2 linked regions of the Cricetulus griseus genome follow. The protein of the gene in region 1 purifies or fractionates together with the protein of each later gene. This does not show direct contact. Links are inferred from orthologs where the notes say so. Each region holds a gene or a part of one and is shown on either strand. Other genes may lie near its edges.

Evidence for each region.
Region 2: the proteins of Mpp5 (region 1) and Amotl2 purify together in Homo sapiens (affinity purification with mass spectrometry; 3 studies listed by BioGRID and IntAct, counting the BioPlex papers as one, with this or other methods). This does not show direct contact. The link is inferred for Cricetulus griseus from reciprocal best matches to the Homo sapiens genes PALS1 and AMOTL2.

The regions. Positions count from the first base shown.
Region 1 is NC_048598.1:124,817,716-124,822,876, forward strand, and holds part of Mpp5 (MAGUK p55 subfamily member 5), read right to left. Parts: intron 5,024-5,161; coding exon 4,877-5,023; intron 3,256-4,876; coding exon 3,094-3,255; intron 1,584-3,093; coding exon 1,506-1,583; intron 1-1,505. UniProt on the Homo sapiens protein: Plays a role in tight junction biogenesis and in the establishment of cell polarity in epithelial cells.
Region 2 is NC_048597.1:210,968,798-210,973,656, reverse strand, and holds part of Amotl2 (angiomotin-like protein 2), read right to left. Parts: intron 3,249-4,859; coding exon 2,953-3,248; intron 2,243-2,952; coding exon 1,932-2,242; intron 1,495-1,931; coding exon 1,280-1,494; intron 824-1,279; coding exon 650-823; intron 1-649. UniProt on the Homo sapiens protein: Regulates the translocation of phosphorylated SRC to peripheral cell-matrix adhesion sites. Required for proper architecture of actin filaments.

The DNA of each region.
Region 1 (5,161 bases):
ACAAAGTAAAAATAACAGCAAGAATAAATAAAATGGTAACACAAAATATCTAGCACAAATGTACCTACGTGTTACAGCAGTGCAGGGAAATGAACTAAAAGGACATTTAGCTAAGTAACAACACTTTAGGGTAGGATTTGCTTAAGCTTATCTGTTGACATCTCTGTACTACAAAGAAGAAGAGGACTGTTCAAACTGAGTTACTGTTAACAGCTAACAAAGGTGCATCAAGGGCAAGGTAAGCAGAATAGAAACAGTCTGACCTGTGAAAATAGTGATCCTCAGTAAGGTATGCAGCTTCTAAACTACCACCATTAGAAAAGGCAGACTAATCTCACCAGGTCCCATGTTAAATTTCCTTGGCGTGTCATAGCCCGTGAACTTCATGATGGGTGCAACTGTGCCTTTGCTGCTCTGTGTTTCTTTTTAAAAGTGCATGTAACTAGCACGTTCCACAAGGCTAAATTATCTAAATCAGGATGATCAACTGGGAAAAATATCCTTACTATATATGATCCAAATCTATGCAATACATTTATAGAAAATAAAATGTAAAGGAACTAGAGTTTCTAGAAATGAGGACAATGCTTATGCTGGGTGTGGGGTGGATTACAAGATGAATAATGGCTAAAGGGCATATAAGGTGGGGAGTTTTAGATGCTGATGACATTCTGGTTCTTTAATTGGGTGTTGTTTGCCAATATGGTAAAGATGCTTTGTCCAATTTTCAAGTGAGGTTCTGTTTAAGAGAGTTCCCTAGGGAACCTTCTATTCTTGATATGAAAATAGACATTTGATGTAATTCATAGCGCTACACAGTTTATAGTTTTAGTATATTCAGCGACAGGCTAACCATTGATATTGGTAGACTATTTTTAACTCTCCTGTACTCAATACCAATGAGGGAACATTCATGTTCTCTCCCAATTCCCAAATTGCACATCAAATAATATCTCACTGTACAGACAGATAAACTATACTGTGTTTTCTAATGATTGTGGAAGCTATTTTAAGAAGTTTTGCTGTTGTTTTTAATTTTTTAGGTCTTACAAATAATACCTGCATGAATATTCACATACAAGTTGTACATGAATACATATTTCCAATTCTCTTGGATATATACTTAACGGAACTTGCTGTGTTGTGCAGTAATCAAGTCTATCATTTAATAGAGCTAAGTTAAATATTTAACACGCAGCAATACACTAAAGTAAGGAGTTCCACATATTTGTAAATGTACCTTTCTCTTCTATGTTACTGAGCTAAAGTCACTTATAACTGTAGACAAACATCAATGGTAATAAAAATTCTGAGACTGAAGTATGTTGGATATCTTCTAAAATGTTCAGAGTTTACCAAATTTTAAATGTTGATATCTTATACTTATTTAAATAAAATCACCCAATTTCTCTGTTTTTACTTGAACACACCACACAGTGAAGTTTCTGATACAGAAAAGTAGAAGTCAAGGAACAATAAACAATAAATATTTAAACATTACTTACTACAGTTTCTTTGGCAGGAGGAGATTTGATTTGTTGACTAGGAATCAGAACAAATGTCAAAGTACCATGCATATCAGACTGTAACAGAAAGGTTGAACTATTTTAGAAATATTTATGAAAATCATTCCACAATCTTATGATCAAACTCCCTAAACAGGATGATCTGAGACCTATAGGAAAATGTCTTAAATTCCCAGATTCCTTCCTTATTTAGTCTTTCTGTTCAGTTTGCTGTATCGAGTTGTATGGCTAGATTTGTAATTACTGTCCAATACAGCACTAGCTGTTTTCAGAAATAACCAGCCTAGGCATCAATCATTACAACTTTTATTACTGACAAAACAGGGAACAAACTCAACCTGAGACATCCACCAATAAAATAGGCTACAAGTGATGACTAATGACACTTTGTTCTCCCGGAGCTGATATTTGGTGAAAATAGGGATATGGATATTTTCTAGCTTTATTAATCAGCAAGTAGTAGACATACTACTGTAACACTGACGCTAAATAAGAATATAAACATTGTTGCTGGGAGCACTAACTGATGCTTATAATTGCAGCACTTAAGAGGGCATGGAAAGAGAATCACCAAAAGGTCAGTCTAGGCTACATATTGAGTTTTATTTCAGCCTAGGTTAAGATAAGAATGAGACCTTATCTTCAAAAAGGAAAAGGAAAAATCATAATTTGTACTTCTGTGCAATATGATCAAAAATCATTCTCAAAATACAATTATTTGAGGGTGGTGGCAAATGCCTTTAATCCTAGTACTCAGGAGGTATGGATAGGTGCCTCTCTGAGTTCAAGGCCAGCCTAGCCTACATAGTAAGTTCCAGGACAGCCAGGATTTCATATGAAACCAAGGAAAGAAAGAAGGGGAGGGGGGAGAGGAAGGGAGGAAGGAAAACAAAATGATGGCTCATCAATTAAGAGCACTTGTTCTTAAAAAGAATCTGGGTTTGATTCCTAGCACCCATAGCGTGACTGACAACCATATGTAAGTCCAGCTTTCGGGAATCTACTGCTCTTTTCAGATTTTCTCAGATACTAGGCATGTACATGGAGCATATACATATATGCAGACAAAACACTTATAACAAACAAATCTTAAAAAATTCTTTTTACAAAGGTAATTAGAAGTGAGTACCTGATTATACTAGCACTGCCCAACAGAATTTGCTCAAGAGAAATGTGCTGCGGCTATCTCTCAAGATGACAGCCATTAACTACACAATAAATCTTGTTCAATTGTAGCTAGTGAGAATAAGAAACTGAATTTTAATTTATTTCACCAGGCATGCACAAGGTGTACAGACATGCATAAAATAAAAACAAATCTTTAAAAAAAAATAATAAAAGGAAAAATAAAGTTGTTATAATAAAGCCAAAGTAAATAAAAACAAATGAACCCAAAACCAAAAATAACACAAATTGACAAATGCTCTAAAGTTAGGCTAAAGTATAACTAATACTCATTAGTTATTTCTAAAAAAAAAAAAAAAATACTCTAATATAATCCCTTCTAAGTTTAATAAGAAAGCACATTTTTAAATGAATCTGTTATTATTCTATGGTCTGAACTTACCAACAAGTCGAAAACCTCATTGACATCTTTTCCCCGGATTTCAATGCCATTGATCTCCAGAACTTCATCTCCTTCATGTAAGAGCCCACTCTTCTCTGCTGCACCACCTTTCACTATCCGGCTAATGATGACAGAATCCATTTCATTACGAACTGTGGCACCCTAAAAACACCCAACATGTAATTTAAACATAAAACTGTAATTTCTTGTTAAGTATTTCACTTTTAAATTCTATGTTTTAATCTAATAAGACTAGCCTTTAACTTATCTTGATAATAAATTTACTCTCACTGCTATAGTAATAACTAATTATATGTGAAAGCAATGTACCCCCCCAAATTTCCTGTTTCAGAAACACTTTATTCATTAAACTTCTGAAAACACACAGATTTCTGAAGCACATAATAACAGGAAAAAAACGTATTCAGTGTTTAATGACATAAAATGATAATTGTTTTCTTCTGGATCTTATTCTAATAGCTAGAAAACATCTAGGTATAATTAATAAACACAGTGCCTAACTATAAAGAATTTCTTCTGCTGGGCAGCGGTGGTGCAGTCCTTTAATCCCAGCACTTTTGAGGCAGAGGCAGGTGGATCTCCGTGAGTTCAAGACCAGCCTGGTCTCCAAGAGCTAGTTTCAAGACAGCCTCCAAAGCCACAGAGAAACCCTGTCTCAAAACACCAAAAAAGAAAAAAATTTTCTTAAAATTCAAAATACAATTAAGTGATAAATAGTATTATGGTTAATTATGCAAATGTTAAATATAGCTGTAGCCAGTTCACATTAAAATGTATTAAATACTAATATTTATTATACAAATTGGAAGTGAAAAAGTATATACTCAAATTGGAAGTGAAAAAGTTTATACTCAAAAGCTAGAAATGTAGGATACAAGATAAAACTTATTTTCTGGGGCTCAGGGGTTAACAGCACTTGATGCTCCTTCAAAGGACCTGGGTTTTGTTCCCAGCACCCATATTGGTCAACTTACAAATCCCTGTAAGTCAGGTTCCAGGGGAACCAATTCCTTTTTTTGATGTCTTCATGTACCTGCATGTATGTGGTACACATACGTACACTCAAGCACATATACATAAAAAGCAAATCTTTTAAAAACCACCTAATTTTCTTAATAATTTACTTTAACATTGTCATAACTTCCCTTTTTATTCTCCTGGAAGGAACCAGTTATGTAAACTGCTTATACATTATTTTTTTAAAATATTTTAATACTGTAGTGTGTGTGTGTGTGTGTGTGTGTGTGTGTGTGTGTGTACAGTCATGTGTGCTCTAGAAGTCCCCAATCACTCTCATATTTGGAGACGAGGTCACTAAACCTGGAGCTGACTGGTTTGGTTAGGCTGGGGGCTAGCCAGGCTCCAGAGAAGTCTGCTTGTCTCTGAGAGAGTTGGGATCACATAACATCACCTTGGCTCTTCACAGAGGTGCTGGGGTGCAACCACTGGATCCTCATGTGTACCCAGCACATGCACCAAGCACGCTCCAATGAAGCCATCTACCTAGGTCCCAAAGATTAGATTTTTCTAGCTGTTGTTGTAAAGGGTAAATTGAAAGAAAATTAGTTATCCTCAGTAAGTATTTCATAAGCTGTTATTTTCACTAAATTAGGAGACAAGGTAATAAAATTAATTTTCAGCCAAATAAGGGTTTTGAGCAAGAGCATAGTAGAACTGCAACAAATTGACCCACAAAAGAAAACTCTCCAGGAACGTAACAAGAATCTTCAACGGCAGCATTGTATAGAGGTGGGAAACTTACCAATGGAATATCTCGAGCCTTTTCTATACGAACTATTTTTACAGTTTCTCCTCCATATTGGCCGATACTTTCATACACTCTCTCATCTGTAATGGGCTCTAGCTGCATTTCCTGCTCAGCAACTTTATCATGGGCCAGTAAAAGTGCCTGTTTCAAAATAAATAAATAAACAAATAAATAAATAAAACAATAAAACAAACCCACAGGACTTTAAGTAAGAACACAACTGTAGGAAGACTTAGTTTTCTCATGCATACAGTATTATGACCAAGTCTTCCCCCTCCC
Region 2 (4,859 bases), on another chromosome or scaffold:
TATTCAGCTCAACACATTTTAAGTAAGAAAGGATCTTTCTTCATCAGATTCCCTCCCCTAATCTGTCCCAGTCCTCAGATTCCTCTTAACTTGGTCAACTAAGCCCAATGCTCTGCTCCCTCCCGTCGGCTGGGGCCTAGATGGCTCAGGAAGTATGCCTGTGTTTAGACTCTGAACTGGCTAGAGTGATCAGTGGAGGGGTGCCCCCAGGGTTAGAAGCAGGCTGTAGCATTCTTGTCATGCCTGTGGTTTTCTGAGATCATGAGGCGCACACAGGCAGCTATGCAAGGGTAAATGTGAGATCAGACTAGAAGGAAAAAAGGCTTCTTCTCAAGTTCCTCTTTTCTGGGCTCTTCCAATAGCTTCCCAACTCAAGATCACCATCAGGGTCACTTGTCAAGCTCCATGATCTTAGAAATCTGGACCAGCAGGATATGTGAGGAAAACTCTGGAGGAGGCACAGTGCCTTCTGATGAGGCGCTTTCTTTCTCAACTATAGGTCTGCCTCCCATTGAGGGTTTCATGCCTCCAACAACCCTTGGTTCATACCATGGGGCTTCCCATGGAGGATGAGTTTGGAGAAAACACGTGTTCCAGTTCAGCCCCCATCTAATATACGGGTCAGGGGAAGTGGGGGCAGGGTGCTTACCCAGAGAGGCTGTCCTTTGGCTGCTACACCCCAGGAGGCTCTCGGGTTCTGAGGCTAAGCAGGCAGAGGTGCTGTCTGCAGGGCCATCAGTCTGAGTGCTTCCATCTCTGCTCCCGTGCTTGGTGTGGGTAGGGAGAGGAGCTGTGGCCGGGGGCTCCTCTGCCGGTACACGGTCTGTAGGAAAGAAAGGAGGGTGATGGATACAACAGGATATAGAAGACAATGTCCCCGATGAGGAATATCCCAAGCAAACTCAGTACACTGAGCTGCTCCTAGGTTGCAAGATGTCTAGTAAAATAAAAGGGTCCATTTTTGGAATGGGAATAAGTGGGGTCAAGTTAGGCGTCAATGCTTGGCACCCCTTCTTTGTAGTGGAAATCCAGGACTTCTTAGTATTTGCTGAGGAACAGTGGAGACTTGCCTACATCTCTATCTGTAAGCAGCTGGAGGCCCAGCACCCACTAGGAGGCCCCCTGTGGGTTTCAGGGTCATGGGAGCCAAAGGTTAAGCCAGGTTCCCTAGAAGAAGGGCCAGGAAGCCCTGGTTTCAGTAGTCACGTATTCTAAGAGTTTGGTATTGTGCTGTCAAACATTCCCATTCCTCTCCACCCCACTGCAAGCCTCCTCATACCCACTGTCAGCCGGCCAGGTGCATCATTTTGCCGATCGCTGGATGAGAGTCCTTGCCAGCCCTGAATCCCCACTGCAGCCGCAAAGATGGATGGCACAGATTTGGCAGGCCGCAGGGTGCCCTGGGTAGCCTTGCCAGGGTCTTTCCTGGATCGCTGCTGAAGGACCTTGATCACTGCATCCTTCTCTAGGATCTGGGCATGGAGCACCTTCAACCTGTGGGAGGCCACACTGTCAGACTCACGGACTCAGCCCTTGCCTTCTACCCACCTCACAGAAGCTGGGAGGAAACTCAGACATCCCTCTGAGGCAGGTAGGACCTCTTGCCTTTGGGAGGGGGACCCCATATGTCACTAATGCTCTGCAACGGATGTTTCCTGAGCCCACCTCATCGCAAGAGCCAGGCCCCAGTGCTAGTAGCAGGCACGAGAACCCAGAATGGCCAGACCTTGGATGGTACCAACCCACCTCCAGCCTGAGCACGGAAGGGATTCACTGAGGGAACAACTGTTTATAATTTCTGGAATGCCAAACATACTGAGCTGCCAAGGGTGGGGCCCTTTGTCCTAGTCCAGGGACAAAGGACTGAGCAGAGACTGGCTACCACCACCCCACTCCCCCCAGATGCCCCTGCCTGGCCCTATAGTTAGTACCTGCTCTCCATCTCCTGGTGCCTGTGGTTGCCTGCCAGCAGGCCCTCGTTGAAGCTGCTGCTGGGTGAGGGCTGAGGGGAGTGTCTGATGAGAGTAGAGTCGCGCTGTGCGGCTGCGGTAGCGGCGGCATCCATGGCAAATTGCCTCATGGCCCGTTCCTCCAAATACTTCTGCTCCCACTTGGTCATGTCAGCCTCCAGAGCCAGGATCTGTTCTTCCTTCTCCCGCAGTTGTTCTGACAGTCGCAGGGCACTGAGCTCAGTAGACCCACCATTGCTGCCGCCGCCACCAGTGAGGGTGCCTGCCTGTCTCTGTAGAGCAAAGAATATCACGGTCAAGGGTAAAGGCTAGGGTGTGTGGGACTTTGGTCATTATGCTGATGCAAAGACCTTAACACATGCATACCTTGTCCAGTCATCTGCAGCACGCATTTCCCCTTCCTGCTTCCACCCAGGGGTACAGGGGATAACAAAGGTCCTCACATTCTCTCCCAATTTATGGTAGCCAGGGCATAAGGGCACGGATGACTTGACTAGGAAAGCAATCCTCTGAAGTAGGAGCGGGAATATGAGTGATAACCACACCGAACAAGTAAGTTTTGGTCCCTGTCATTCTATGACAGGGTAAGGTTGGGTGTGGACACAGAACTCTACCTGGTTTGTAAACAACAAAAATATTTACGTCCAAATACATAGCAAGAATAGACTCGGGGCTCAGACATCTACTTCCTATCTTGGGGAGATAGATCAGAGTGCTCCAGTCTTCTGCATGAACATTCTTAGCGACTACTTTCCGGTACTGAGGTCCCAGTTTCTGTTCCTGCCATGGTAAGACTCATCAAGTCCTCCAAACCTGAACACAGACCACATGGCAGAGCCTTTGCTGTGCAAGATGAATGGGAAGGACCAAGCAGCCAAGGGGGACATGGAGCATCATCTCTCCCAGGGGACAAAGACCAGAGATCAGGGATTCCTTGGATTCTGCCCAGCTCTGGCAGCTACACAGGTCTTCTTGGGCTCACCTGCTGTGCACGGAGGGCTTTGAGTTCCTGCTCCAGGCGCGTGCGCAGACGCAGCTCCAGCTGCTCCCGCTTCTCACAGGCAGCCTGTAGCTGTCCCAGCGCCTGCTGCAGCCGCTCCACTTTCTCCACGTAGGCCTGCTTCTTGCGTAGCTCCTCTTCAGCCCTGGCAGCACGGCTTTGTGCATTGCCCAGCGCCTGCTCCAGCAGTTCTGCTCGTCGCCGCTGGTCCTCGATGGCGCCCCGCAGCAGCGCCATCTCCCGCTCCAGCTTCTCCTGCTCCTGCTGCTGTTCATAGCCTGTGGAGGAGACAACGAGGAGTAGTGATGAGTGATGGTCGCCACACTCACCCACTACTGGGCTCTGTACCGACAACTGCTGTTCACTCTCTTGACACGCCTGGGAGTTGTGTGTTGCAGTGAGATGCAGGTTAAGAGCAAACGGCAGATAACTGAACTAAATGGCCTCTCAGCTGGGACACTGCTTGAATGGTGCCAGGCATGGCCATCACCGAAACATATGCAGTTTTCCTTAAGCTTTATAAGGACTAGAGACTGGTCAGGCGGGAACCGAGCCAACCTTTTATAGATTAGGGTACTATAACAAGGTCATTGTTCAAGCAGGAAGAAGGGGGCAGGCACTTTTCATGTCTTATCCCACTCAATCTCCCAGGTAGGATTTGTGGTTCTTGATTTACAGAGGAAGAAACAAAGGAGCCAAATGGCTGCCTGAGAAGCTCTAGCTATCTGGCTGTGTGTGCAGTTCTTGGCCCCAAGTGTGGGCTCTGGAGCACAGCCTGCAGACTGGAGCCTCTCCTGTTCAGTACCCCTGTCTTCACATGGTTCGGGGACCCACATGTAGGTACACATGCTCACAACAGAATTCTAACCCTGTAGCACAACAGCAATGACGCTAGTCCAAAGACTGGCAACCAAGATTCCAGCGATCTCTGACCACTTTGCTAATTGCTTGGAGGAGCTCTGCTCAGAGAATGTCTCCATCTAGCTGGGCCAAGGACAGAGCACAGACTTCTCTAAGTGATGTTCTAGGCCTACAACCCACCTCAAAGCACTTGTCCTTTGAGAGTCTCAGGCTGTTCAACTAAGAGTGGCTTCCTATTTCTCTGGAGACCAGAAGTACAACGTCTAAGATACCTTGGTAGGGAGTGGGTGGCTAAGCCTGCTTAGCAGGCGCCCCATATTCAGGATCCAGTCACCCTTTGTGTTCACCCTCTCTCCTCCCAAAGCCAGGCTGGGCGCCGCCGGGGCCGAAGGGCGCCACTGTCAGGCGCACATGGGAGGGAACAGAGGGGGGCCGGCCGGGAGCGGAACAGCCCAGAGGCTCTGGAATGCCAGGCATCCAGGTCACCCGCGGCTGCGAGATTAATGGCTCCAGCAAGAAGCCAAGAACAGCCTGGCGCTAGCTCGCTCCCCGGGGAGCGGAAACGCCTCCCGGCTGCTTCTGCCCCCCTCCCCCTCTGCAGGCTTCCAGAAACCCTCCCTAAGACTTCCTTTCTTTGCCAAAGCCTGGGCCCAAAAGCCGCCCTTCCTACCAGAGCACCCCCATTCTCCCTTCCCCTAGCAGTCGGTCCTCTGCAGACTCCCAAGGGCAACCTAGGCGACACACCTCCTTCCCCCCTCACCTCCGTTCCAGAGACCTTTAGCCACTGTCACCTCATTTTGAAAGGTAGTGGATAGCTCAAGTCTTGCCCAACCTGGGCCCATTTCCTGCCAAAGGCTGATTAGCAAGCTCTCGAGGGCCCTAAGTCCTTGAAGCAAGAAGAGGACACTGCCAGCAGAAGCTGTCCTCCCCTCTCTAGATGCCCCTTAACCAAGTACTCTAATTTCTTCCCTTCTTCCCTACAAGCCTGCCACTCCCCCTCAAGTCTGATACCTTCCTCCTTCCCTGCA